Nothobranchius furzeri: one gene and its partners. The protein of the gene in region 1 purifies or fractionates together with the protein of each later gene. This does not show direct contact. Links are inferred from orthologs where the notes say so. Each region holds a gene or a part of one and is shown on either strand. Other genes may lie near its edges.

Region 1 (4,120 bases):
TTAAAGCTTTAAACAGGTTCTCGGATGCTTCTGGTCTCACAGTTAATAAGAGAAAATGTGAAATATTAGCCATACATGATTTAGACACCGTATCAATAGATGGCATAGAGGTTAAAAAAGAAGTTAAATATTTGGTTATCACATTAAGCAAATCCTCTAGTGAAAGAATTTCAAAAAACTTCAACCCTAAAATTGAGAAATCTAAATCTGTCTTTAATTGCTGGCTACAGAGGGATCTTACCATTATAGGTCGTGTTTTACTCTCCAAGGCTGAAGGATTATCCAGGTTAGTATACCCAGCTTTATTTTTATATGTTGATAGGAAAACCTGTGCAGCTATTGATTCACTCTTATTTAAGTTTATTTGGAAACATAAAAATGAATATGTAAAGAGGAAAACACTTATTAGACACATTTCAGAGGGGGGTCTTAATGTATTGGATTTCCAAACTATCAACAATATATTCAAAATTAATTGGTTAAAACATTGTCTTTCACATAATAATGAACCATGGTTTTTTATTCCCAATTTTTTTGGTTAACAAATGTGGCGGTTTAAAGTTCTTGCTTTCATGCAACTTTACCTCAGATAAACTGCCTATTGAACTGGCCAACTTTCACAAACAAGCCCTGGACACTTGGAAAATGGCTTTCAAACACAACTTTTCCCCTCACACATGTACTTTATGGAACAATCAACATATTGCTCACAAGAACAAGACTCTGTTTTACAAAGACTGGTATGATCAAGGTGTTATGTTTGTGTTTGATCTTTTGAATGATAACGGGACCTAGCTACCTATGATGAATTCATCCAACGAAAGGGGTTCAACACATCTCTCGCTATGCACTCTAGAATCCTCCAAAGCATTCCTGTTCATTTACTGTCTCTTGTCAGAGCTCCTGTTCAGTATACACCTTACACAGGAAGGATTCCTGCACTGTGTCTTGGTGGAAAGCTTCTTGAAGAGCACTCATGTAACAATGCTCACATTAGAGCCGTTTTCACCTCTCTATATAGTCAGGTTCCAAATTCATTACATCGTTGGAGGGTAATGTTTCCTGACATCAGTAGCAATGCCTTTTCTGAGGTTCAGAAATTTTTTGTCCCCAATAAAGTTAAAGAAATACACTTGAAAATCTTACATAGATATAATCCGTGTAATGAATTTATTAATAGATTTAGACCTGATGTGTCCCCTTTATGTTCCTTTTGCAAAACAGGTGTTGAGTCTCTTACTCATTTGTTTTATGGTTGTCCTTTAGTTGTACAGTTTTGGAATCAATTGTCTTCATTAGTTTGGGATTCTCATAAAATATTGATTACTTTTAATGAAAGTATGGTCTTATTCTTAAACGTTAAATGTAACAAGGAAGTTAACAATGTAATAAAATTGCTGTGTCTGTTGGGTAAATTTCACATTCATAAAGTCAGATTTCTACAGACTATACCAAATGTAACTTTATTTTATATTGTTCTTAATTTTTTTCATGAGACTGTACGTAGAATTAGTAAAAACAAGAAAGCTGTGAAAATATGCAACTTGATGAATTCTATTATGCCCCATATTACAAGGTAATGTATTAGTGGAATTTTGTTTTATTTTATGTTATTTTGTTTGTATATAATTATTTATGTTTACTTTCATTAACAGTGTTTTCTTTTTCTTCTCTGTTTGTCAATGTATCACACCCTGTACATCGATGTTGTTTTGTCAATATATTATGTCTTGTCTGCTGCAAATGTGTCAATAAAGATTGTTTAAAAAAAATTGCACCGTAGAAGAAGAAGCGCGCTGAATTGTCGCAGGATTCAGCGCAGCACCACCTGCGGTTGTTTGCTGCAGTTAGCGCCATGGCGGCAGTGCGCAGTTTACAGGTTAAATCAGACAGCGGTTCGGATCGCTCGGAACCGAACTCAGACTCCGAGTCAGATCGAGATGCCCGTGAGGCCGAACCAATGGAGGTGGAGGAGGGAGAGCTGGAGGCGGAGGACATCTCGGTTAACCGCTCTCTGAAGGAGCTGCTCCCGGTAAGTTTCCGACTAGGCCTCGATAGACCGGGGACTCGCGTGTGCCTCCCGCCGGCCGAGCAGCGGGAGGCGCCGGCGCTGAAGCAGCGGCTCTCCCCGGTTAGCAACCGCGGTTTCTGTCTCCGTTTAATGGCTTTGAAGTCAAAGGTTTCGTTAATGAAGAAAAATCACAATTTAAAATCTACTTGTTTGTAGTCCGAGAGATGAATAAAAGCCAGGAGTTTGTTTGTTTCTGTCAAGGGTAGATGACACAAACGTAAACAATACAAGGTGAGGGCTCCCCCCGGGAAAGCTCCTCAGGCTGATTCTGGATCTGCTGTTTTCAGGACACCAGCCGGAGGTACGAGAACAAGGCCGGAGCGTTCATCACCGGGATAGACGTGAACTCGAAGGTACCGGAACCGGACACACCTGAGCTGGAGAAACACTCCTGGATGTTTTAGTGCATCCTGCGAGCAGGTCTAACAAGCTGAGGCTTCTTCATGATTAGGAGCACATTCTGGGAAGGGCGAGCTTTCATCTGAGAACTAGTTGTTCGAGCTTCTCCTCCTGTGCCAGGTACAGCGGTGCTTCTCATGTGACACACAACAGCTTGCCATACCTCATGATGGATGGGAGCAAGGATCAGCAGTGACCACCGCTCAGATAAAACCACGTCATTTTAAACATTCCAGATGATGAAGGCTCAGACTAACAGATCTACGGCTTACTGGTTTGAGCAGGGTCGTCAGTCCACAACCCAATCCTCCTCTGACCGCTGGGTTAGGGTTAGGTTGCTCTAGATAATCGCCACCCATCTTCGAGTTGTCTGTTGGGAACGCCGTCTTCTCTGGAACAGCAGCTGGTAGTTCACTTATGCCCATGTAGCCTCAAGTACCCAGAATGCAATGCTGTGATGTCACGTACCACCTGTACTTCAGCGACAGCAGGTGCTGGTTTGTTGTTTCTTGTCTGTTCCTGTTGATTGTAAATGTTGCTCTCATAAAGGACAAGCTCAGGTCATTTTGTGAAATCTGAACATAATCAGGAAACACTTTTAGCTCATATTTGATCATTGTTAATGATTTCAGTTGTAAAAGTGATCTTCAAGTCTCGGGTATCTGATTGTAGGTTTTGTTTGTCAGGAAGCGTTTGAGAGGAAAGAGAAACGAGCAAGACGTTTCCACTTCCGCTGTGAGGAGAGCGTTGGTCAGAGGAACGTCTTCCTGGATAAAGATGCCATGAAGAAAGGTGTGAGCCGGTGTTCTGTTTCAAATCATTAACAGCAGTCTGCTTGGGTTTATGGAACTGTAGCTTTCTTCTTCTGTGGTGCTCAGCCATCTTTAAACTGCGGATGGAGGCGATCCATGTGAGTGGTGTGGACGACATGAGCACGCAGGATGTGTTCGGGTACTTCAGGGAGTATCCTCCAGCCCACATTGAGTGGATCAATGACACTTCCTGTGAGTAACGAACATGAGAGTAACAAAATGCGTTCTGCTCCAATCAGAGCAGAGGTCCAGGACAGCAGTGCTGCTCAGCAGCATCTCACCTGTCCTGTTGTCGCCTAGGTAACGTAGTTTGGCTGGATGATGACACCTGTATCAGAGCTCTCATCAACTCCAGCCAGATGCCCACACCAGAGGTTGTTGTCACGGAGACGGAGTCCAGCGAGCAGCCGGGCAAACGGAACAAAAGTGGGTCTGAGTCACGACTGAACTGAACATGTCATGAAGGTGTGGTGCATTATAGGTAATCTAATCTGTTTTAACATCACAGCTCGACGGGTTCGAGGGTCGGAAGAAGAGGATGATGATGATGATGATGAAGAGGAGGAGGAGGAGGGAGAGGTGGAAGAGGAGGTGAAGAAGAATGGTGATGAAGAAGTGGACCAGAACAGGAAGGTGGATGGTGGCCAGGTAGAGCGTTTACTGTGATGTCACAAAGTGACTCAGCAGTTTGTGTGTCACCAATGACTGACTCAGCGGTTTTTGTCAGGTGGACGACTTGTCAGCAGCTGAGAGGGAGTCGCTGCTGAGGAACGAGCTGAGACCTGCCATCAAACCGTTTAAAGGAAACAAACTGTTTCTGCGCTTTGCTACACAAGGT
Region 2 (4,042 bases), on another chromosome or scaffold:
GTTTTATGTATTAAGAGGATTTCAGTATAATTTGTACAAGTCTGTAAATTTGAAACACTGTCAAACTGTGAATAAACACTTATGTTACTTATGTTGTTAGACTGATTGATTTCAAAGTAGAAAATTATATATTTAGGTCCTGTAATTTTTAGTTTGATGCAAGTTTGTTCTAGATGGGTATCAAATGGTGCTGCATATGTAACTATTAGAAATTAACTTCTGATTGTACGTGATGCAAAAAAACTTACAGATGTTCCACTTAAGAATTAAGTTTATTGCCACAATACAAGGTAACAATCAAAAGAGTGAAAAATATGAACAAAGATCTATGCAAATAGATTGCTCTTATAGGACTGAAACACTGTGCATCGTGTCAATATGATAGATCTATAACTGCTTTATGAATACATTTGCATTAAATGGAGAATTACACTTACAAAGAAAATAACTAATATGGAAAAATGTCTGCAAATTTATAATATTACATTTACATTTTTGAAATGACTATTTGTGGAATTTCTTAAAGTTACAGTAGCTTTTAGGACAGTAGGTCGCGCTGTGTCCTCCGTTAGCGCTAAATGCAGTGCTTTTTGACTCTTGGGCTCTAGATATGAGACCCAGAGTGGCGCCGCCATATTGGATGGGCCTCCACTTTTTTAAATATTATCATTAAATTCTTATTAAAATTTCTCGTGAGACAACAACACATAATAGAAACATACAAGGCATCTTTAGTAACAATAAAAGAAAAACAAATAAACTTAAAAAGAGGTACTTATATCACAAAGTAAAAACATTGTTACAAGATTAAACATTTTTCGGCAGCATGACAAATGGCTTTTGCAGTTGCATTTGAATTTTTTATACGAGTCAAAGTGGATAAGAACATATGGAATTCATTTGTGAAACAGTTCTTGTTGCCTCCTCACTCTAAAGTCAATCCAGAGTTATCAACTATGCCCGGCAAAAACATCACGTGGATTTACTAGTGCCTTTTCTAGCCTACCTGATAATATTTTTTATTTTATTTTTATTTATTTCGTTTAATTATATTTATATTTTAATTATGCCATACATTGTGTCTGATTTGGTTAAAAAGCTTGATATAATGTGTTTTTAGTTGGGTAAGCAGCAACTTCATCAGTAGATGTAAATGCACCGCAGGCGAATGGAGACCCATCTAAGATGGCAACCGGGCGCTACGGCAGCTGAAATAGGCAGCGCCTGTCCTTGGAGCGTCTACGATTACGTATGTCTGTGTGTTGGGCTTCCGTCCTAAATCGACAATTTGTATGTAGAGGGAGTTCTCGTTTTTACGTGTACTATTCTATCAAGTAAAGACGTAAGTTTGGACCAAGTGAGTATTTGTCGGAAAACATACTATTTATAACCACAATGAGCGCATAATATCCGTCAAAATATTAGTTCTATTAGTTTAGTATACCGATGTTAGCTACAAGCTAACGGTTATTAGCCCGTGTTAGCTTGCATGCTAACCGTATGTCATTGTTACTAAAGTGATGTTTTCATCGGTGTTTTTTTATCGGTCTAAAACTCTTTATTTTCACATTCTAATAGCCATGTCTTCCGACGTTCTTAAGAAGCGGAAATCGAAGGTTCTCCGCAGTGAAGCAGGAACCCCGGAGGTGAAGCGGGGACGTGGAGAGGCGGACCAGCAGGTAGACAGAATCACTCAGAACTTTGTAAATAAGTGGTGTCCAATCATGGACATGTAGGCCCACTGTCCAGCATCTTTGTTTCAGCAGCATCTAGTTTGAATGAATGGATAGTTAGCATGCCTCTGTAAACTTGAAAACACGAATCTGTTAAACAGCAGTGGATTTGAGCAGGGAGATAACTAAAACATGCAGAATCGTGGCTCTCAGTGACCAGTATTGGACTTCATTGCTGCGATGAATTTACTAATTGAAGCTTTAATTGTACTTACTGTTGAGTTTACAAATATACAGAACATTGGCAGTTAAAAATGTCAGAGTTTGCACATTTTATTTTATGTGATGATCAATCAAACAGGGACATTTTCTGCCTCTCAGTTCACGTCCTACAGGTTCCTTAAAGTCAAAGTTATAGTTTTTATAGGTGTTTGAATATTGAATTGCGGTTAATTCATCCACATAGTATTACACAAGGTTAAATCTGTTTTTGTGGTAACAATTGAACATCTCATGTTGAACAAGTTCACAGGAATATTCACAGCACATTATGTTTTTAAACACTAGGTTGCATGTTAGCAACCCAAAAACAATAGTGAGGTAGGTGTGTAATAACTTTAGAATACTATGAAGTAGTATATTATTGATGGTTTTATTATTGCATGCTTGTTTCTTTTCCCAGGATGTTCGTGTCTATAATGAGGAGGTGGAATTGGATGGCAGGAACCCTGAACAGGACTTTGATCAATACAAAGAGTCATGTGAGGCTTTATCCAAACTCATGAGTGAGATCCAGAGGATGAAAGCCTCTGGTGCCAAGGAAGGGGTAAGAGCCATAATCTCTACAATACATCACAGCAGTATACAACTTTCCTTTAGTTTCTTTTTCAAACGTTTCCTTTTCTGCTGGAAAATCTCTACTAAACATCTGTTCCAGATGTTTCTTTTATTGACTTTTTCACATGCCATATCAAAGCTGTAAGATCTGAAGTTAAGTGTATGGGTATGAAAGTAAATATCCATATATATATATACATAAATGTTTCTTTTTAAGAGTATGGATGTCGAGCAGAAACGTATGCAAAGCTGCATCCTCTTCATGAATCTTAAGAAGCTCAACCGTCTAGCTCACATGCGACTGAAAAGAGGCAGAGACCAAACACATGAGGTAATTTTCACAAGTCTACTTTTGAACTGTGGAAAAAAACTGTTATAATTTAAAATGTTTTGTTTACTTTCTGGAAAGTGTTTGTTTGTTTTGTGCTGATTGCAGGAGGAATGTTTAACAAGAGGCACCTTTTTCATTTTAACATTCAACCACAGTGAAGGCTACAGTCAATGTGCAATACCAGTTTAGTTTTTGTGTTCTTTGTTAAGCTTTGAGTGTTTTACTTCAAATTTGATTTACATTCATTAATATGATCAAATGCTGAGTTTTGACAAGCATGCATTTATTATTTTTTAAAGGGTTATTTTTTTTGTTACTTTACAAATTTCATTGGTGATTACTTTTTCTGTTTCCAGGCTAAACAGAGAGTTGATGTGCTCCACCTTCAGCTGCAAAATCTGCTCTATGAGGTTATGCATCTTCAGAAGGAGATCAGCAAATGTCTGGAGTTCAAGTTAGTACTAAATTCTTTACTTGACTTCAGCCTTTAGTTTTTTCAACACTTTTTATTTATAATTTAAGATGAAATAATCAGTTTTATTAAAAGTGTTTAAGGATGTAACAACATATCTCTATAAGAAACCACTAAACAATTTGTTTCTTTTTAATTTAACATTCTCAGCACTACTTGAAAAGTATCCTGTCATGTCTAATTAAATTCTCCGTCTCTTAACAAGATCTAAGCATGAAGAAATTGACTTGGTGAGTGAAGAAGAGTTTTACCAGGATGCCCCGCCGGAGATCTCCAGGCCTTCTCTCACAAAAACCGATCCCCACCAGCTCACACTAGCACGGCTGGACTGGGAGCTCGAACAGAGAAAGAGGTACAGAACTTTACCACGAAATAGTACACATTTGTACTATTGTGGTTACTTTTTGCTGTTCGGTGTAGTCTTTGTCTGGCAGAGAGCAGCTGATTAAAGTATTTTTTGTTGGAAACAGGCTAGCTGAGAAATACAAGGACTCACAGGCCACAAAGGAGAAAATTCAGAAGAGCATTGAAGTGAAGAAAGAGCATCTAAGAAGCTTGCAGCCAGGACTGAATGCTATCATGCAGGTAAAAATAACAAAAACAGATTTTTAATGAAAATTTTACGCTTCCAAGTGAAACATGTCCGCTTTAAGATAGTAGGAGGTTGCATATGATTGCATACAATATTTTATAAATGTAATTATATGTTTCTACTTGGTCATCTTTTAT
Region 3 (3,500 bases), about 22 Mb from region 1:
TGTTTGTACTGAAACCAGAATATGAAATGACAACAGGAGGCCGAGAAGTCTCCGGGAGCTGTTATAAAAAGCACAGCAGACGCTGAGGAGGACCTAGGTCTTCATGAGTGTCTTAGATGAATGTGTCGTCTCAAATTAGTGTCCACAAGATCTAGACTAAAGCAGAATATTGATATAAGCTAATCTCATGGCTCATGTTGGTTTTGTTCAACATCTTTGTCTTGAAAATGCAGGATGACATCATGAAAAGGTTTGTTTTTATTTTTTTGGGTGTTTGGCCTCATTTTAGGTTTCTGAATTTCAAGACAAGCCCCATTTCTGTATGTGTTCAACTAAAACTCGGTTCTCTAGATTACATTTCAGCAAATTGATCTGCAACATTTAGCTTTAGGTTTTAATATTATTCTCTATTTGGACCGTTTTAAAGTCTTTTATTGTAATTACCATCTAGATTGTTTCCTGAACAACCTCTGTTAAAAAAAAGGTTAAATCCAACCAGACTGATGTGCTAACAGCTAGTCAGAGTGCAGTCAAGACTAGTGTTGCTGCCATACTTAACTCTTGAACTGCCAGCTGTTTCCTGATCAGAAAAGCCCTTTGCTGCCAGCGTTTTTCAGCATTTTCACAGTTTTTGCCAACGCCAAAACAACCAAAACAAAGTGGAATCTCATCTCTTACATTAGGAAGAATCTGCGCGTTTCGAGCGTTATCCGTTCTTTCATAATCCGTTGTTGAATTGTGATCGGCAGAAGCTTTTCCGGTTTGCGCCACACTTTTTTACAGCAACGGCCCAAAACGATCTCCTAACACATGGATGTTCTGCTTCCTGATCACGTGACGTGTGATGTACGCAGATGAAGATCGGCTTTAGAGCTGAGATGTTTGTTCACATGGTGCGGGGGCTCGTTCCGACGCTCACACAGTAAAAAAAATGCAAATGACTACTTAAGTTGTCAATGGCAGTGAATGAGTTAAATGGTTACTGTCTCTTTAAGGTGATTCAGGTGGTCAATTCTATTTCTTGATTCTAATAATAAAGTATGTTTTCACCTTTGTTTTGTTATTGTGGTGTTTAATGTTTTGTGTTGTTCTGCTCATGTGTCGTCGTGTTTAGCACCACACCAACTTTAACTCAGTTGCCCGGTCCAAGAGCAGAGAGAAGGAAGTGGAGAAGAAAGAGACAGAGATCACACAAGGCCGACCCAAAGAGAAGAAGGAGGAAAAAGAACGAAAAGAAAGGAAAAGAGTGAGCGTCCTGCAAGTGATTGTTATTGTTTATCAGCCACGGAGCTGAAAGGATCACCTCCGTGTTCGTTTCTGTTTCAGGATCACATCGTTACAGACCGAGAGGCAAGCCTAGAGTCCAAGCGTAAAAAGGATGAGAACGGAACCAGTGAGTCATTGTATTTATTTTTTTCCCTCTCTTAAATTTCAGATGCCTTTGCTTTAGAAGTCAATTAATTTTAACTTCCATCCATCCATCCATCTTCTGAACCCGCTTGTCCACGTAGGGTCGCGGGGGGGCTGGTGCCCATCTCCAGCGGTCAATGGGCAATCAGGCGGGGTACACCCTGGACAGAGAGCCAGTCCATCGCAGGGCAATAAATTTTAATTTCTTAAACTAAATGTTTTCTTCCCAGATTCGGCTAAAAACAGTCCTTCCTGTGACTCTTCACTGTCACCCGAAAAGGAAAGAACCAAAAGATCCAAATCATCCAGCAAGGAGAAGGCCGAGTCGGTGAAACCGGAGCGAACTTCCTCCGGAGGCAAAAAGGTCTGTTCAGCTCAGCACCGTTTACATCAGGGATGCTTCATACTGGGAAAATTCATGTAGCCATTTATTTCTAACTCTAATATAAAAAATACAGAAACTTTTAGCAAATGCCTCGTGTAGCACTTCAAGTTTTACCGCACTGCTGCCATCATGTTGGTAACTAATCTGTTGGTGATTTTTGTACAGCGGGATATAAATTCCTGGGTCAGATCGGCATTTTTTGGCAACCTAATTAAATCATAACGTCCCTCTGAAGGGCAAAATCTTCAGCTATTAGCCAACAGCTCAGAAGTACCACCCCTTTTCTCACAAATAGCTGTTGACTGACGCATCAGAGCCAATGAAAATCAGAAAACAGCAATATCTTACATAACCAACGCCTTGTGGTCTGCCTCCTCAAATGGGCTAGGAACGATTGTGATGGGTGTGCCAGGAACCCTTAACAGTAGACAAGAACATGTTGAGTACTCAGACATGGCATCAGAACCGGTGATGTGACGAACACATCAGTGTGATGTTGATGTTCAGACGTGACGTCATGCAGCTGTAGTTTACGTCCTAACCAGACTCCATATTTAATTGCAGGGTTTGTCTATTAGGCTCAGTTTGGGTCTGTTTTCAGTACTTGTCTAACACGGAGGGAGAAAGCTAACCAGTTTAAACTCCTTCTTGTTCTTCCTGCAGGAGTCCAGGCATGAAAAAGAGAAGAAGGATAAGAGGGACAGCAGCAGTGGGAAGGAGGAAAAGAAGCAATATCCTTCATTGTAGACTCGGTGTGTGTTTATTTTTGCTCCGTTCACCTGAACCAAAGCAGCTGTGGTGTCCTGATTTGTTCTGGGTTTAGGTTAGGACATTTTTCCTGTTGCTGCGCCCAACACTGAACTTGGTTCACTTTTTGTTTCCTTTATGAGATTCTCTCTTTAGTTTAACTTGGCTCATTTCCCCCACCTACCTCCCCACTCATCCGTGATGTTTGTGCTGAGTTACCCAGACAAACAGCCCCACTTCTCCCCAGCTTTATTAAACTAGTGTCTAAAAACGGTTTGGTGTCATTTCCTTTGGAAGAACTCAAACCTTTCTGCTCTGTCTCAGCTGTTTTTGACAGTTCGTAGTTACAGATCACGGTTTCCCTTAACAACCACACCCATAAATCTGACAAGCACAGATAATGTGCACTAATCAGTGAAGGTAAGGACCACTCAGCTGGTTACAGATCAGCTCTACTGCTGCTAGATTTGAATCTTCTGACGCGTTTCCTGCCCTCTTCGACCCACGTGTCCAGCAGCAGATCTGGTGAAGCTGTGCTTCTGCCTGCGAGACTCCTGTAACTCCAACTGCCACGTCGATGACCTAGCACCCTTTTTTTTTCTTCTTTTTGCCCACAACTTGTTAGCAGTAGTTAAAAGCCAGATCATCCCTTATTTACCCAGTTTCAGATGGAAGCTTTCATTTTTCTTTATTAATATTATTATCAGTATGGACACAACATGCTGCTGTAATCACAGTGTTATTTTCCCAGAAATGTGGTTACTGTATGTAAAACCCCCATGGTAGCATCTGGTCAGATTCAAAAATCCCAAACTTGGAAAATGTTGCTTGTTGTTTAGTTTTTGTACTTTATCAGGCCTTGCTTTTTGCTCGTTTTATTAGATTTAATGTGCTTTCCATTCTCACTTACCTCATATCTTTTTGAGAAACTTTTATTTATTTATCTGCTCCTTTTAAT
Region 4 (4,105 bases), on another chromosome or scaffold:
TGCCAGATTATAGTAGGAATAATAGCCTGGCAAGCCAGACTAAATAAATGTATTATTTAGTCTGGCAACGCTCCATTGACGGCTCGCGGTTGTGGGGCGGGTTCTACCGTTGCCTACTGGACAATGAATGTGACATACTCATGTTTCACTCTGTTGCATCGTCCCACCCACCAGGCATATAGAGTGCCCTGATTGGCCCACAAAGCGGATATAGCTCTGTGATTTGTTCACTAAGCAGATAGAGCACTATGGCTCACCATTATGGACCAATCACAGCTCTTTATGTGTTTGAAACCCCTCTAGAGAGCTGTGATTGGCCAGCCAGAATGCTGTTGGGGCTGCAGAGGTTGCAGTGGAGTGTTGCTAGACCAAACTTTGCAAAGCAAGAATTTGGTCTAGTTCACTAGGCTATAGGAATGCTAAAGTGAATCCTCAATCCCTAGGCAGGTCACATAAAAGCACTATAGACAATATGGGCAGTGGATAACAAAAAGAGCACATCACAATATTTATTACTAATCTAATTTATTACTATTCTATTACTAATATTTATTAGTAACAGATTAAACGGCAACAGTTACAGGACTGATGTGCTTCTAGTTAAGCACTCCCTTATGGAGCGTGAGAGACAGCACCAGATCTACCTGTTGGAGAAATTTTTATTTATTTGTTCTCATTTTACATGATTAAACTTGTTAATACAGAATATCTAGTTCAATTTCCATGTTAGTGTCATCTACTAGTCTATTATGATCTATAAGACCACACAGGTTGCTGGACACAAAAAACTCAAGCTGGAAAACAAACTGAAGACAAATTAAATTTTAGATAAGGACAAAATAGAATATTTGGACTTAATTTGCTTGTGAATATTCAGTAGAAATGTGCATGCAGTAAACTTGTGTTTTTCATTTGAGTCACGTTGTGGGCTTTGCCATGCATGCATTATCTCTCACATATTTTTGTTCTGTATGATGATCACACACCTGTCTCTTTCAACATTCTGCAACTGGCTGTCACACCCGTGCACCCTGATGACAGGGTTCTTCTGAACTTGGAAGTATTTCTTTGTTCGAGATTTAATTCCTGATTTATTTTTTACTTTTGAATAAGTGCTTCTTCCCTGATAATTGAATGCATTATCATTTATTTGATGTATGTTTAGACAGCTAACATCTACCGAAGCCAAAGTCCTTGTAAATGCAACTTAACTTGGCCAATAAATCTGATTCTGATCGATTCTGATATGTCAGAAACAAGCCCTCTCTTTACTACATCTCCCACAATCCTATGCTTGATCATACGTCATATCTATGCGTCTTTCTCCGTCACCACCCGATTCGTTTCATATTTATGTCGATGGTTTCTCCCGCGCTGGCTCCATTGTCCCTTGTTTCTCCGCGACTTTAACGGAACCGGGAGGATTTTGAGGCAGAATGGGACCCGTAGAGGTAAATATTATAGCTATCGCGCACACGCTTCTGACGAAGAGTAAATGTTTTAAAAACCAGCTGCAGCCCTATTCAGTGTTTCTCTTCTTCGTATTATTGTTAAAATCTCATTAAACTGTTTACTAGGCAAACAAACATATATGAGGTATGATTTGTACAGGTTTTAACTTATTTCTTTGCTGGCGGAGATTTTATTATTTAGGAAGAAACATTCAAGCTTTCAAAATAACGATGTTCTCTGATATCATTAAACATTTATAAATCTGAAAGTGTTACAGATATTATTGTAACCAGGTTCAACCTGATGTTAGAGTCTGTTTTTAAGGTAGTTTGAACTGATTTGATAATCCGTTTCAGGAAGACACATTTTCCGGGCTTGGTTTCTCCGTGTCACGTGACATGTTCCCACCAATGACCATGCGCCCTTGGAAACAGCCATAAAACCCGCACACATCCTCCCGACCATGTCGATGCTCCCGACGCGGATCTGAAAACAGCCGATATGATCGTTCATGTGTGTCTGATGTTGTTTAAATAAGGATTAACTCGATCTCTTCATGTCCGCAGCTCCTCCACATGTCGGTTTTCTCCCAGAGCTTTTCTCCCTGCGGACGCTTCCTGGCGGCCGGAAACAACTACGGAGAGATTGCCTTGTTCAGGTGGGACAAACCAGCGAAACTGGTCTCGCCTTTCACCAGTCTGAGGTTCACACCTGCCGTGTTTTTGTTTCAGCTTGGCTGCAGCTCTAAGTCCAGAAGCCACCACCGCTAGCCAGAAGCCTGTTCTGACGTTTACAGGTGAGTCCTCAGAGAAGCTCTTCAATCCCACCTGTGCGCATTCCGAGGAGTAACCAGAGCCGGGAGACCTGGAGATGGACTGTCCAATCTCAGGGGCAGTAGTTGCTGAGGTAGTCAAACGACTACACAGCAGCGGAGCCCCGGGGGCGGATGAGGTTCATCATGGGTATCTCAAGGCTATGGATGTTGTAGGGCTGTCGTGGTTGACACGCCTCTGCAACATTGCGTGGTCACCGGGGGCAGTTCCTGTGGAGTGGCAGACCGGGGTGGTGGTTGCCATCTTTACGAAGGGTGACCTGAGGGTGTGTTCCAACTATAGGGGGATCACACTCCTCAGCCTCCCTGGAAAGTTCTACTCCAAGGTACTGGAGAATCTCAGATAGAGGAGGAGCAATGTGGTTTTCGTCCTGGCCGTGGAACTGTGGACCAGCTCTATACCCTTGCAAGGGTGATGGAGGGGGCATGGGAGTTTGCCCAACCAATCCACATGTGTTTTGTGGATTTGGAGAAGGCTTATGACCGTGTCCCCAGGGGCACCCTGTGGGGGACGCTCCAGGAGTATGGGGTGGGTGGCTTTCTGTTAAGGGCAATTCAGTCCCTTTACCAGAGGAGCGTGAGTTTGGTCTGCATAGCCGGTAGTAAGTCGGACCTGTTCCCGGTGAGGGTTGGACTCCGCCAGGGCTGCCCTTTGTCACCGGTTCTGTTCATCACTTTTATGGACAGAATTTCTAGACGCAGCCGTGGTGTGGAGTGTGTCGAGTTTGGTGGCAGGAGAATCTCGTCTCTGCTTTTTGCGGATGATGTGGTCCTCCTAGCTTCATCCAGCTCTGACCTTCAGCTCTTGCTGGGTAGGTTCGCGGCCGAGTGTGTGCATAACTGCAGACGCTGAGCCGATCTGTCGTGGTGAAGAGGGAGCTGAGCCAGAAAGCCAGGCTCTCGATTTACCGGTCGATCTACGTCCCAATCCTCACCTTTGGTCATGAGCTTTGGGTAATGACTGAAAGAACGAGATCGCGGATACAAGCGGCCGAAATGAGTTTCCTCCGTAGGGTGGCCGGGCTCAGCCTTCGAGATAGGGTGAAGAGCTCGGACATTCGGGAGGGACTCAGAGTAGAACCGCTGCTCCTCCTGATCTAAAGGAGCCAGTTGAGGTGGTTTGGGCATCTGGTCAGGATGCCTCCTGGACGCCTCCCTGGGGAGGTGTTTCGGGCATGTCCTGCCGGCAGGAGGCCCCCGGGTCGACCCAGGACACGTTGGAGAGGTTACATCTCCAATCTGGTCCGGGAACGCCTTGGGGTCCTGCCGGAGGAACTGGTGGAGGTGGCCGGGGAGAGGACGGCCTGGAGCTCCCTAGTTGGGATGCTGCCCCCGTGACCCGGATAAGCGCAGGAAGACGACGGGGGCCCAAGGCGAACACAGACATGAGGCCCCCTAAATTTTCGACAATCTTATCTTTAACTGGATTTGTGAAACTTCCCTCTTCTGACATGAGTTATTTTCACTTTTTATTAGTCCTCCTCTTTTTTCCTGTCTTTCTCTCCCTATGAGTGCTTTCTTCTTCCTGTCAGTGCTCCTGTGTCCTTTCTTTTTTTTCTTCTATTTTTTCCATTTTGGTCTGTTTTCCTCCCTTTAAACATTTCCGATTTTCTTTCCTTTTCTGCTTCCTTTTGATGTTTACATTGAAAAACAACGTCACTTATGGAAGTGAAGATAAAGGCTTTTTTAAAGCAAGCAGCATCTTTCTCTTATTGGAGCCACTAGGATAACTCCATTTCATGCTTCATGTTTTGACTATCGCTTAGAATTTGTTGCGAACGCTCCCGCCTCTCTTCTTCTTCTTATTTGTGGTCTTATGGC
Region 5 (4,289 bases), on another chromosome or scaffold:
GCTAACATGTTTTATTGATACTGAGTAAATTCTAAAGGCATTTTATTTTTTATTTATTTCAATTATTAGAGGGGGCTATCCAAAATACGTGGAGAAGGTTCTGTCCTCTCCCTTTTAAATCACACTAACTGATAAACTATGTTATTTGGAAAGCTAGGTTGAATGTTTCTAGCCGGACCTGTAAAAGTAAGACATGTCTGACAATGTCAAGTAGGCTCAATGATCTCAAAAGCAAATGGTTGATTGCAGTTATTACAAATAGGCATGCAGTGCCAGGTTTTGGCTGCTTTTTCCCTTGAAAGATCAAATAATTGTTTATCTGAAGTGTTTTGCAAAATTTTCATATTTTAAAATTTTCTTGAGCCAGTGTGTGCTAAAACAACCCTGTACAGGGTTAATGAAATGTCACTCAGACCCCGACCACCCTCTATGGCCAGAATGTCGCACTTGCAACTTCAGAGTTGGACTTGTGGAGCTGACATGCCTGGTGCTGCAGTCTGCTTCCTGCATGTTTTAGATCATAAACACTGCTGGTTTGGTCAATTTAGTGATGAGCTGCTCCTGTAGAAATTAAGGAAGGATGGGGAGACATTATTATGGATTAAGGTGTTTAAAAAGGTGAATGCACAGTTTCACTTTTGGTTTTACTAACAGAACACTAGGGGCTGCTAAAAGCAACCCAAAACTGGTTAGTTGTGCAAAAAAAAAAAAAAAAAAAAGCAAAAGTTTAGAAATCTAAGGGGTCAGTAGCCATCACCAGTTCTGTGTAACTGCTTAAAGAGCAAGTCACCCCCTACCAGAGTATTACTCCGCTCCCACTTCCTGTTTGAAAAATGCAACAAATTCTGTTGCCTAGCAGACCAAGAGGGCGGGCCCGCTAACAAATACACACACACACAACGACATTGTGACATCATATGCTACCAGCTAACGTTCTAGGGTACCCCTTTGCCAATAACGATGGCAGATTTAAATTCAAATGCAGTGCAGAGTTTTTACCTGACAACGGCACAACACTCACAGTTTTAGGCAGAAAATTTAAATTTTAACTTAAATGCACAAAAGTGCAAAACTACACGTGTCTGCAGCACGGTTAGATACGCATTTATATAGTTTATCAGAAAAAAGTTGATCTGGGAGTGTCTTGCTCTTTAAACACTTAACTATATTATTTTAAAATCCTTGACTTTGTGAAAGTTTCTTTTAAGAATTGATGATTGATGTGGTTTAGTTTTTCCCGGTTATTTCTTCAGTTTACAGTTTTAGTTTCGATCAAATGTTATATGTCATATTTGTCAAAAAAATATTTATTTATTTGTTCTGTATTTTACCACATCTGTGTAGAACTTTTGCACAATTCGCACATTTTCCTGTCAAGGTTTCTTTTAGATACATGCTCCGCCCGGTTCCGCCTCATCGTCGACAGTAGAGGGGATCACGTTCACGTACTCACGTCAGGCTTACGTAGAGAACGTCGTGTTCTACTACTTGTGTTTAGCAGCTGCTACAAGAATCAGACACCGTTGAGCCTTGAAAGGGACAGGGAGAGGGACCGACCGTGTCTAGGGTGTAACATTCTTAATTTGTTCAAAGTTTAGCGTTATTGGGGCAGCAAAATGACCGATAAGATGGATATGTCTTTAGACGACATTATCAAACAGAGCAGGCAGCAGAGAGGTGGAGGCCGGGGAGGAAGAGGCCGTGGCCGCGGAGGCACAGGCAGCGGCCGGGGTGGAGGCGCTGGGCGACTCGGAGGCGGCGGCGGAGGCTTTGGAGGCCGAGGCGGTGGATCCGGCCCCATGAGGAATCGACAGAACCTGAGTCGCGCTAGAGGCAGACCTACGCCTTACAGCAGGGTATGAGAATGTTAGAGGAATAAGCAGAGAAATGTTTTCATATTGTGTCCCTTCTCCCGCAACCCAAATGTGTAACGCACGTCGAGCTTCAACAGCCTACGGAAGGAGTGGAGGCCCTCAGCGCCATTTTGAATCCAGCCCCGCATTGTGAAGCTAGTCGTCAGTGAGTGCTCAGTGAGAGGTATCCTGGCCACGGTGGTGAAAGAAACCCACTTCGTCAAGAGTATCACTCGAAAGTGTGTTTTCACTGCTTGTCGGAGCGGGATATGTGCTCAAGTTCCCGCCAGCGCAGCGACCAGGCGGCCTTTTGTTCGGGGAGTGGGTTCTCAAGCCCTCTGGTGGCTTTTTCTACCAGTTTGCCTGTTACTTGTGGATGGAAAAGCGGACTTTTACTCCTCTGTTAGTGCCCAAACAAAACCGGTTCTTCGTCTTTTAAAGTGTGATCGAGTTGGTAGCGAAGCCAAACAAAGCCCCAGTCAAAATGGCGTGGTTTCAAAATGGACGCTCACGCAGAGGGGAGATCTGGCCATTTTCACTCCTCATCCAGCACACGGACTCTTCCCCTACTGAGAACTGTTCTGAGGTCCAGGACACAAAGTACCAGCGCTGGAGACGCCGCTGCATCGAACAGGAGTCCCCGAGTGTCCCGAGGAGCTGGCTTTTCTGGAGGGAGGCGCAGATGGCGAGAACAATGGGCATCTCTGGTAGCTAGTCTGAGGAGTTTTACAGGTTTAGCATCAAGTCTGTGGGTTTGGGTTTAAGAAATATCTGTGATGGTAATACTTAGGTTTCTGGAAAGGCTCGTTAGTCTATTCTAGGGTTTATTTCACTAGAAACCCAGAACAGGACTGTTGAGTTTTGTTTTTATGGTTTTGTTTTTAATCCATTTACTACATCAAACTTGGATCTAAAGAATACATTTTTATTTTAAGTGGGCTTTAATGGGACCATTTTTCTTTAGACAGTTGATTAGAGTGATTGAAACAAGTGGCTCCCAGATCTTTTAACTTCTGATTTACAAGATCTGTGATTAAAAACCTTCATTATTCATGACGGACACGTACAAATAGCCAATAAGACAATTACATTAGGACAGGAAGATGACTCCATCCACTTTCACCAAGACTAAACGCTTGTCAGTTGGTCTGTTTAGATGTTTTCTCTTCATATATGTCAATTATTTTTAAATTTGATAATCTCAACATTGGTGTCCTGTCCTAACTTTGGGAACCAGTGAGTTTGAACTAGGGATGCACCGATACGATACTGGTATCGGCACCGATACCAATACCAGTATCGGTGAAAGTTAACCAATACCAGGAACCGATACCAATGCAGTTGCTTGAAAATGGCTTCACTGTAACTTGTCATTTCTGTTCACCTAATATTTTAGTTTTGTGATGATTTCCATTCATATATTTTACTTTTTATCTACCTCACAGTCTTTTCCTGTTGAAAGCAGAGAAGAAAGTAAAATCTGCATTCCAAATCATTGCATTTTTTTTTTTTTTGTGTGGTAGAAGTATCTGTATTGGTATCGGCGAGTACTAAGATCGGTTTGGAAAAAAGTGGTATCGTTGCATCCCTAGTTTGAGCATGTTTTTACTAACTTAAATCAGTATGGACTTTATTGTGATGTTTGTACACATTCCGATTTAAGATGGCCCAACATTGGTGTGTTAACGTTTAAAAAAGTTCAAAATTTGAATCGAAGCGAGACTACTACAAATCCCCTTGCTTTTGAGTATTTGTGTGCACGTCCCTTTGAGCTGATGCACTTGCTCGTTGTGACGGGGTGGGCAGGGAATACTGGGGACCCCCCCCCCTCTAAAGGGAGCTGAGCACCATGTTGGAAGTGGAGCCCCCTGCTTGCCCCAACAGCCAGCCGTGTGGACTCAGTGATGGGCAGAGGCAAGGGGATCCTGAAGTCAGCAGGTGCGTTCTCTTTCATCTGTTGCAGCCTAAACAGCTCCCAGACAAGTGGCAGCACGACATGTTCGACAACGGCTTCAGTGGCTTCAATGGTGCTGCTGGGGGTGGCGGGGGAGCTGGTGTGGAAACTGGAGGGAAGCTCCTCGTCTCCAATCTCGACTTCGGTGTTTCCGATGCAGACATTCAGGTACTCCAAAATCCGCGCTTCACTGGTTGGTTGTGTTTTATGGCTTGTTGCTGTCTTAGACTAATCTTGGATGTACTTTTTCAAGGAACTTTTTGCGGAATTCGGAACTCTGAAGAAAGCTGCAGTTCATTACGACCGGTCGGGAAGAAGCTTAGGAACAGCAGATGTCCACTTTGAAAGGAGAGCTGACGCTCTAAAGGCCATGAAACAGTACAACGGCATCCCACTGGATGGTACGCTTCAGACCTTGTTTACATTTTTCTGGTTTGACATGACTAAATAATTCAAACTTTCTTGAGTGTTCAACCCCCTTT
Region 6 (4,262 bases), on another chromosome or scaffold:
AAAAAGCATAAACATGAACTAATTCCATCCCAACAAGTGATATTTGTTTAGTTGCACAAATGTTCACCTTTTGAATTTGACCTGACCCTTCAAGTACTGGAACAGGATCAGGTACTGCACCAGTATGTGTCTCCGGAAGTTGCTGTCGCTGAGCTGCAAGTCCATCAGCTGCAGATTACAAAAAAAAAAAAAATCCCAAAACAATGAAGTTTAACTTTTAAGACAGAAAAACATATGACTTACAGCCATAGTCAGTTAAAAACTGCTTATTTATACATGATTAAAAGATTTTTAATGATTTTTCTGCACCTTTTCGCTCGTGAGAAACTTGGCAAAGTAAACCTGTTCACCATCAGACGCTCGCAGCTCCTCCAACTTCCTCTTTGACGCCTGCATGTCATCCAGTTTGTAGCTTTTGAACACAGCAAGAGTCTCATCGGAGTACTGAGCAAAGCAAAAGCAACACACAAGTTTATTTATTTTTTTATCCTCATCTTGGATATTGACAGTGATCCGTCAAATTGGTCAGAGTTGCTGCACCGAGGTGGATTACCTTAACAAAAGTAATCCATGAGATTTTTTCATAGCACTGCAACGGATTTCTAAAGTAGTCCTGCAATGTCCAGAACTTTCTGTACAGGTTGTAGTCAATCGGAATAGAACTAAGGAACAAAAGGGTACTATTATTTCATGAAGGTGAAAATGTGAGCAAATACAGCAAATGGTTTTCATTCACCACGGTGCCGGGGCGTCATCCTCCCCCATTTCTCCTTCCTCCACTTCCATGCCGTCTTCCTTTTCATCAGCGTGCTGTCAACATAGTAGCAAAAAAACAGATGAAACAGGATGGAAAGGATGAGCTCATTAACCTAATAATTAACCTAACAATACTTCACCTTCTGACCAAGAGTGCTTTCTTGTTCATTTTTATTGAACACGGTTATGTTGTCCAGATTAAACTGGCTTTGTAGATTGAGACCTGGATTAAAACACACACAAAATCTATTTAATTGAGAGGTTTACAATATGATTGTAAAGTGCTTTGATTTTTTTCCCCTTCAAGTTAGAAAAATAACTGACTTTCTTACCGGATTTTTCAGACAGAGGAAAGAGACGTGCCAGGAAAAGCTGGATTCTCCCACAGAATACTGTATTCTGGGATTTCGACAGCCTCCTTAAAAGATCTGTACAGATGAAACAAAAGTCACTTGCACCTGAACTTTCTGAGAATAGAAAGTCTTTTGGATGACAGAGAAAAAGACAAGATTTTTACCGTTACACATTCTCAACAAATAGTTCTTTCCTGCTGTGTAAAAAGAGCTCTGGAAGAAAGAAACAACACAGGTACAATAATGAAACCTTCTAACAAAAACAGAGAAATATTTTTGTTGCCTTTACAAAAAAAAATGCCTGTAATTATACCGATTTCCAGGTAGAGACATTTTCTTCAACAAAAGAGAATATTTTGTCACACAAGTCAAGGGGAAGGCAATCCAGAACGTCTCCCAGCAGGACAAAAGGAGTCGTAGCAGAACAGATACCTGCATTAAAAACAGAATAAATGTTACACTGTCATTTGTTTTAAGAGACGTTTTACCAAAACTTATATCAAAGCGATCCTTTCAACATGTATGTTTAAAATCCAAAATCATCTAATCTAAAATAAATATCCACCTCAGCAGTAGTGATAACATACCCTCAGTAACAGCATTGATGCTCTGGTAGATTAGAGACAGATAGTCATCACAGCATGATTTCTGCTCAAGCTAGAGAGAAACAATCATTAGCGATTCTCACATATTTTCAAATTTAAATTAACTAACTTATTAAACTTACAATCTGGTCACCAAGAACACTCCTCAAAGCCTGATCCAGTGTGGTCTTCTTTTCCGTCTCACTGACAAAAACACACAAGTAGTAAATTTGTATTTCTGGATTATTTTGATCTGGAACCTCGACCCAGGAGCACAACTTACTTGCCGGGGAGTTGGTTAAACACGGCGATTAGGGGTTTGCAGGTTTTACCAGCTAGTGCTTGTGTGCTTGCAGCCTACGGTTGGGTGAGCATGGGAAAGGACATAATGAGAAACAAAAGACGATGCAGAAGTTTGCTTCCGTTTTCAAGCTTCCGATTCGGGAAATGGCTAAGGCCAAGGCCACTCTCAATTTTTATATACGGTGACCATCTTTAATCTGCTTCATCTTAAAAACTACAATACCTAGACAGTTCAAACCTGGACGGGATTATTCTAGACTAATAGCAAATTCCATAAAACAGTTTGTGATTTGTGAAACTTCAAAATCTGCCTATTTTAAGTTTCACAAATCTGAAAAAGGTTTCACAAATCACAAACTATGCTTTATGGAATCTGCTATTAGTCTAGAATATTCCAGTCCCGGTTTGAACTGTCTAGGCATTGTAGTTTTTTTAAATAGAGCAGATTAAAGATGGTCATAGTAAATAAAATTGAGTGCAAATGCTCTTTAGCCAATTTCCAAATCGGAAGCTAACTTCAACCTCGTAAACAACAGGACCGTTCAGAAGCGTTTACTTTAGCTTAGCTTCTTTGGCTAACTACTACACTAGTACAACAAGCACAACCATAAAGTAGTGAAGTTAAGATTTTTTACGGTTTTATCAACAAGTTGTCTTACATACAAATATATTATGGATGGAAATGACAGAAAGAAGCCACTTCTCACCGAAAATTTCTCTTTAGCGTCGACAAAATTAAATGAGGACAGAGACATCTTTACGCTTCTGAAACCGGAACCGCCAACGAATCACTTCCGGTTATGAAGTGGCGTTTTTGTACGTAAAGGGAATTATCTGACAAAATTATACATTAATACATATTATCTATAAACGGAGTTAGGATAAAACTAACTTTGTATTTTTTAATTTAGTTTCAAATAGTTCAGTCAGTCACATTTTTATTTCCATTTTGGATGAAAAATGGAAATAAACCGTAGCATAGCAATCTTGACCACACGATGGCAGTGTTGTACACCATTGTTGCTGTTAAAGTTTTTCATTATTTTTTAATTTGCTTACATTCATCAAACTCTGAGTGGCTGTAAGTGATGGATGCATGGAAACCTTCTTCAAATGGTGAGTTAAAATTAGTATTTCTACTTCCTGAAAATAACAGTATTAATATTTATTTTAATCCTAATTTCCCCACTGTATGGTTTAGTTTGCCTTTTGGCCAGGACTCACTTAAAAAAATCTTACACTTGATTTTTATTTTAAAGAGTCATGTTCCAAACTTTCTTTATAATAATAATTACAACAACAACAACAACAACAATAATAATAATAATAATAATAAGTTGTGTCAGCCATTGAATACTTGTAAAATAACGTCACTCTGTTTATATTGTATGCATTTCAAAGTTATATTTATTTTAACGGAAAGAGCGAAATAATTTTTGTCCTTTCTTGTTAATAAATATTTGACTTTGACAGGTCACAATGCACAGCAGTTGTAATGTGTTTGTTTTGCATGTGTGCCTGTCTTGGTGTGCACTTCCACATGTTCTAATCATGCAAATGAACATTCAGCTATGTGCTGCAGGCCTTGAATCCTTTGATACCATCTGCTTGTCTAACAATGTCCGATTTGACATTAGAATAACCGCTCCATTACCCTGAGACAACAATCATTAAACTAAAGATTTACTCAACCCATGTGAGAACACTGAAGCTTGTTTTGATCCAGGTCAAGACCTCTAGGATTTACATACAAGGATGATCCTTTTCAGCTCCTTTTGATGGGTGTTTGTAACCTTTTTGTGACAGTGTTTTGGTGGCTGTGCTGATGTTAAGAGAAGAACAATGACTTTGTGAAGTGGAGGCGTTTAGTGTCACATGGAAGCAGGAGAGGCTCTATTTCCTTCACGTGTGTGGTTGTAGTGTTCATGAAAAAGGGAAGTGAGGAGTGATTTACTAATACCTATTTTCTCCCATCCCTTATCTTACTCAGAGTTCATCAGATTGTTGCCAAAAACTGATGAAGAGCAGAAAGGGAGTAAGCACGATGAGAAACTTGGAGATTGTGCTGGGAGGCACTCTTAAAAGTGATTTGTGCGTGGTTTGAGGTTGTGATTAGGGCAAGAAGATTGAGAAATCTTCTACATTCTACCTAAAATGGGTGATTTAATTAATTAATTAAATAATTTATTTATTTTGTTCAATTAAACTTCCCTAGATAATTTGTTCAGCTTTTATGCAACGAGTTTTCAAAAATATACCTCCAATT
Region 7 (3,716 bases), on another chromosome or scaffold:
TGCCCATGTGAGCGTTAAAGTCCCCCAGCAGAATGAGGGAGTCACTGCAAAGAGCGCTTTCTAGCACCCTCTCCAAGGTCTCCAAAAAGGGTGGGTAGTCTGAACTGTAGTTTGGTGCATAAGCACAGACCACAGTCGGAACCCGTCCCCCCACACATAGGCGGAGGGAGGCTACCCTCTCATTCACTGGGGAAAACTCCAAAGTACAGGCACCAAGATGGGGGGCAACTAGTATGCGCACCCCTGCTCGGCGCCTCTCAGTGGGAGCAACTCCAGAGTGGTAGAAAGTCCAACCCCTCTCAAGGAAACTGGTTCCAGAGCCAGAGCCATGCGTTGAGGTGAGTCGAATATATCTAGTTGGAACCTCTCAACCTCACACACGAACTCAGGCTCCTTCCCCACCAGAGAGGTGACATTCCATGTGCCAAGAGCCAGCTTCTGTAGCCGAGGATCAGACCGTCAAGGTCCCCGCCCTCAACTACCACCCATCACACACTGCACCCGACCCCTTTGGCCCCTCCCACGAGTGGTGAGCCCATGGGAAGGGGGACCCACGTTTCCTCTTCGGGCTGTGCCCGGCCGGGCTCAGTGGGTGAAAGCCCAGCCACCAGGCACTCACCAATGTGCCCTACCTCCAGGCCTGGCTCCAGAGGGGGACCCCGGTGACCCACGTCCGGGTGAGGCAACACGTTTTCCATTTATATAATTCATCATACGAGGTCTTCGGGCTGCTCTTTGTCTGATCCCTCACCTAGGACCTGTTTGCCGTGGGTGACCCTACCAGAGGCAGAAAGCCTCAGACAACTTAGCTCCTAGGATCATTGAGGCACTCAAACCCCTCCACCACGCTAAGGTGGCAGCCCAGGGAGAGGCTATTTTCTAATCCTAATCTAATCCTATTTGATATGTGCCATATATTTCACATATATGTCTGTGAATTTTAAAGACACGTTTTGATGTCAAGAAAGTGCTTATTTTTGAACAGCTGCAAAAGTTTAGGGTTTTGTGTTAAAAGATGTGTACAATGCCTGTCCAGTATGGGAAGCTGGTGACTGGATGCTGAACCATCTTGCTAGACCAGCATTGTATGCTGATCTACCACTAAACCAGCACCAAACACAACATATGCTGTTTTTATGAGCAGGGCTTTGCTCATACATAATTGAGGCGTTTTTTTACACAGCAAAAAGTGATTACAGCATTCATTTTGCCTTTGAAAAATGTATTCTACCGTAATTCAATTTCATCACTTGATTGTGTAATTTGTAATTGATTGTGTGATAAAAAAACCTAGTGGTATTACTAAATTGCATTTAAACTAAATCTCTGTGTCACATAATCACTGTAATCACTGTATACTTAAAATCCACATTATTTAACGAAGATGAAGCGAAAAGATCACAACATGCAGTAACGTCCTCTTACCAGATAAGGCAGTAACGAGCTCAGCTGTGTCTGAGTTGCCTAAAGACAAAAGATCAATCAGTACCAGTAGAACGGAAGTAGTAGAAGAAGAAAAACAGCAACATGGGAGCTGTAACTGATGGTTTGTGGCTTTATCATTAACTAATTTCAGCACTTAAGTTACTCTTTACTTTTGTTTTCGTCTAAGTTTAAAACATTGTAAATTGCGCCTTATTATCTGGAAAAATACCCAGAAATGCTACCTGTAATAGCGACGTTAGCTAGCACACTTAGCATAGATGCATTATGTTTTCAACGCTCTTCAGCTGCTTTATTGCATGTTCCACAGATGAGGTGATTCGAAAACGTCTTCTCATTGACGGTGACGGAGCTGGAGATGACCGCCGAATCAATCTGCTGCTGAAGAGCTTCACCAAGTGGTGCAACTCACCTTCTGGGACCCTAGAAGAAGGGTACGAGCTAGCAATATATCTGTCTCCAGTTTTTGCTTGTAACATCTTGAATGCCGAGTACACAACTGCAGTGAAATGCTGAACATTGGGCTCTTTGTGTGTAGATTCACTCAGTACCAGAGGATGGTGGCTACTCTGGCTCAGTGTGAGTTTTCTATGGGAAAGACGTTGATGGTTTATGACATGAATCTTCGTGAAATGGAGAATTATGAGAAGATCTACGCAAACATAGGTAAGATCGGCTTTGTTTTCAATGTCACAGAATTTTTTGTTAATTCTTTTAGTCATACATGCCAAATGGCCTGTATTTTATAGAGCTTTCTAGTCCTGGAACCCCCCACGGCGTTTTACAACACAACACAATCAGACATTTACACACACATTCACACACTGGTGGTGATGAGCTACATCGTAGCTACAACTGAGCGGGGCTCGAACCTGCACCCTTCTGATTATGGGGCGAGCACTTAACTCCTGTGCCACCATCGCCCAATTAACACTAATCAAACTTTTTTCTTTCGCACCTCGCAGAACAAAACATCACATCTGCACATGAGAAGATCACAGAATGCAAAAAAGAAATTCTGCGTGCCAAGAGAATACGAAAAAATCGCCAGGGTAAGGACATTTTAACATCTGTTGTATTTACAGAAAAATTACCAGATGTGGTATCAAATGTGCGTTGTCAAAAGGATGTAAACTTTTTTTTAAGTATCTGTTCTCTGTCTCTCCAAAGAATATGATGCTTTAGCAAAGGTAATCCAGCAACACCCAGACAGACATGAAACACTCCAGTAAGTCAGCCTATCGATAAAACATGTCAAGCTCCCCTTCATGTTCAATAAAGTGCTCATTTTTGTTTTACCTTCCAGGCAGTTGGAGGCACTCGATAAAGAACTCCAGCAACTGTCTCACATCAAAGAGAACGTAGATGCAAAGGTAAACTCAAACACAGCGGCCTAATGTTGTTAAAGTATCAGATTTAGTTGTATTTTTACTGACTTTTTATGCCATGTTTGCATTCTCTTTAGTTGGAGTTGAGGAAGAAGCAGTTTCATGTTCTTCTTACTACCATTCAGGAGCTGCAGCAGACACTAGAAAGTAAGTAGCCACTTGGTTATACAGACAAACTGTTGTCAGAGCTGCCCTCATCGTCTATCCTGTCTTTCCTAGATGATGAAAAGTCAGATAGTGACGACCACAGTCAGGAGAGTCCCATGGAGAATGGGGATTGAACACATAAAGAGCCCAACTGAAGGAGTCACAGCTTTTAATTGAAATTTAGTTTGTCTAAGAATCCTTTTTTGTATGTATTTTTGAATAAAGCTGTCATCTTGGAGTATATCTTTAATTCTTATATTCTCTTTTCATTAAAATAATCTCAGTAAAAATGTAACCAAAGCTTCCAGGCTTTTAAGAAAATCAACTGAAACTCTGATCAGAAAAGAAATTTAATACGCGTCAGTCAAGGACAGAACAGTTGTTGAACATTCATATGTGCTGTATTTTCTCTGGAAGTTTCTGCACTATAAGTGAGAGTTTGAATACTTGTAAAATCTAAGTGTCATTAAACCCAATTATCATTTTTTTCATACTAAATTATCATTTTTTCATACCAAACTATCAAATAGTTTCTGATTTAAAGTTCACAAAATTACATTCTTCTGAGAATAAGACGTCTGTAACAAGAATTATGGTTTTGCTCATTTATTTAAAAATGAATGCCAAAATTTACTGATGTAGTAAATAAACCACAATGAAAGAAAGCCTCTGACTTCCTATGTGAATGATCACTATGTACTTTGTTGCAAACCCCTGTAAATTGTTTTAACCGAACCA

Evidence for each region.
Region 2: the proteins of ncbp3 (region 1) and thoc5 purify together in Homo sapiens (co-immunoprecipitation; 3 studies listed by BioGRID and IntAct, with this or other methods). This does not show direct contact. The link is inferred for Nothobranchius furzeri from reciprocal best matches to the Homo sapiens genes NCBP3 and THOC5.
Region 3: the proteins of ncbp3 (region 1) and thoc2 purify together in Homo sapiens (co-immunoprecipitation; 3 studies listed by BioGRID and IntAct, with this or other methods). This does not show direct contact. The link is inferred for Nothobranchius furzeri from reciprocal best matches to the Homo sapiens genes NCBP3 and THOC2.
Region 4: the proteins of ncbp3 (region 1) and thoc6 purify together in Homo sapiens (co-immunoprecipitation; 3 studies listed by BioGRID and IntAct, with this or other methods). This does not show direct contact. The link is inferred for Nothobranchius furzeri from reciprocal best matches to the Homo sapiens genes NCBP3 and THOC6.
Region 5: the proteins of ncbp3 (region 1) and alyref purify together in Homo sapiens (affinity purification with mass spectrometry; 4 studies listed by BioGRID and IntAct, with this or other methods). This does not show direct contact. The link is inferred for Nothobranchius furzeri from reciprocal best matches to the Homo sapiens genes NCBP3 and ALYREF.
Region 6: the proteins of ncbp3 (region 1) and thoc1 purify together in Homo sapiens (co-immunoprecipitation; 4 studies listed by BioGRID and IntAct, with this or other methods). This does not show direct contact. The link is inferred for Nothobranchius furzeri from reciprocal best matches to the Homo sapiens genes NCBP3 and THOC1.
Region 7: the proteins of ncbp3 (region 1) and thoc7 purify together in Homo sapiens (co-immunoprecipitation; 3 studies listed by BioGRID and IntAct, with this or other methods). This does not show direct contact. The link is inferred for Nothobranchius furzeri from reciprocal best matches to the Homo sapiens genes NCBP3 and THOC7.

Annotation. Positions count from the first base shown.
Region 1 is NC_091750.1:26,050,512-26,054,631, reverse strand, and holds the start of ncbp3 (nuclear cap-binding protein subunit 3), read left to right. Parts: upstream 1-1,320; 5' UTR 1,321-1,855; coding exon 1,856-2,032; intron 2,033-2,358; coding exon 2,359-2,424; intron 2,425-3,156; coding exon 3,157-3,262; intron 3,263-3,348; coding exon 3,349-3,474; intron 3,475-3,582; coding exon 3,583-3,708; intron 3,709-3,790; coding exon 3,791-3,930; intron 3,931-4,009; coding exon 4,010-4,118; intron 4,119-4,120. UniProt on the Homo sapiens protein: Associates with NCBP1/CBP80 to form an alternative cap-binding complex (CBC) which plays a key role in mRNA export. NCBP3 serves as adapter protein linking the capped RNAs (m7GpppG-capped RNA) to NCBP1/CBP80.
Region 2 is NC_091757.1:44,994,552-44,998,593, reverse strand, and holds the start of thoc5 (THO complex subunit 5 homolog), read left to right. Parts: upstream 1-1,242; 5' UTR 1,243-1,357; intron 1,358-1,578; 5' UTR 1,579-1,580; coding exon 1,581-1,679; intron 1,680-2,355; coding exon 2,356-2,499; intron 2,500-2,727; coding exon 2,728-2,841; intron 2,842-3,197; coding exon 3,198-3,295; intron 3,296-3,518; coding exon 3,519-3,665; intron 3,666-3,783; coding exon 3,784-3,898; intron 3,899-4,042. UniProt on the Homo sapiens protein: Component of the THO subcomplex of the TREX complex which is thought to couple mRNA transcription, processing and nuclear export, and which specifically associates with spliced mRNA and not with unspliced pre-mRNA.
Region 3 is NC_091750.1:48,389,664-48,393,163, forward strand, and holds part of thoc2 (THO complex subunit 2), read left to right. Parts: intron 1-1,114; coding exon 1,115-1,246; intron 1,247-1,326; coding exon 1,327-1,393; intron 1,394-1,640; coding exon 1,641-1,774; intron 1,775-2,458; coding exon 2,459-2,526; intron 2,527-2,918; coding exon 2,919-2,943; 3' UTR 2,944-2,962; exon of another isoform or gene 2,963-3,056; 3' UTR 3,057-3,500. UniProt on the Homo sapiens protein: Component of the THO subcomplex of the TREX complex which is thought to couple mRNA transcription, processing and nuclear export, and which specifically associates with spliced mRNA and not with unspliced pre-mRNA.
Region 4 is NC_091745.1:30,134,782-30,138,886, reverse strand, and holds the start of thoc6 (THO complex subunit 6 homolog), read left to right. Parts: upstream 1-1,305; 5' UTR 1,306-1,436; coding exon 1,437-1,451; intron 1,452-2,018; coding exon 2,019-2,110; intron 2,111-2,183; coding exon 2,184-2,248; intron 2,249-4,105. UniProt on the Homo sapiens protein: Component of the THO subcomplex of the TREX complex which is thought to couple mRNA transcription, processing and nuclear export, and which specifically associates with spliced mRNA and not with unspliced pre-mRNA.
Region 5 is NC_091752.1:50,607,405-50,611,693, forward strand, and holds the start of alyref (THO complex subunit 4), read left to right. Parts: upstream 1-1,489; 5' UTR 1,490-1,616; coding exon 1,617-1,856; intron 1,857-2,120; exon of another isoform or gene 2,121-2,353; coding exon of another isoform or gene 2,354-2,560; intron 2,561-3,816; coding exon 3,817-3,975; intron 3,976-4,060; coding exon 4,061-4,208; intron 4,209-4,289. UniProt on the Homo sapiens protein: Functions as an mRNA export adapter; component of the transcription/export (TREX) complex which is thought to couple mRNA transcription, processing and nuclear export, and specifically associates with spliced mRNA and not with unspliced pre-mRNA.
Region 6 is NC_091751.1:49,147,958-49,152,219, forward strand, and holds the start of thoc1 (THO complex subunit 1), read right to left. Parts: upstream 2,801-4,262; 5' UTR 2,752-2,800; coding exon 2,704-2,751; intron 2,051-2,703; coding exon 1,977-2,050; intron 1,898-1,976; coding exon 1,837-1,897; intron 1,767-1,836; coding exon 1,697-1,766; intron 1,542-1,696; coding exon 1,423-1,541; intron 1,323-1,422; coding exon 1,274-1,322; intron 1,185-1,273; coding exon 1,089-1,184; intron 980-1,088; coding exon 897-979; intron 811-896; coding exon 737-810; intron 663-736; coding exon 554-662; intron 445-553; coding exon 310-444; intron 169-309; coding exon 68-168; intron 1-67. UniProt on the Homo sapiens protein: Component of the THO subcomplex of the TREX complex which is thought to couple mRNA transcription, processing and nuclear export, and which specifically associates with spliced mRNA and not with unspliced pre-mRNA.
Region 7 is NC_091743.1:56,272,747-56,276,462, reverse strand, and holds thoc7 (THO complex subunit 7 homolog), read left to right. Parts: upstream 1-1,440; 5' UTR 1,441-1,527; coding exon 1,528-1,546; intron 1,547-1,753; coding exon 1,754-1,877; intron 1,878-1,981; coding exon 1,982-2,109; exon of another isoform or gene 2,110-2,408; coding exon 2,409-2,495; exon of another isoform or gene 2,496-2,613; coding exon 2,614-2,671; exon of another isoform or gene 2,672-2,749; coding exon 2,750-2,816; exon of another isoform or gene 2,817-2,908; coding exon 2,909-2,978; exon of another isoform or gene 2,979-3,050; coding exon 3,051-3,112; 3' UTR 3,113-3,216; downstream 3,217-3,716. UniProt on the Homo sapiens protein: Component of the THO subcomplex of the TREX complex which is thought to couple mRNA transcription, processing and nuclear export, and which specifically associates with spliced mRNA and not with unspliced pre-mRNA.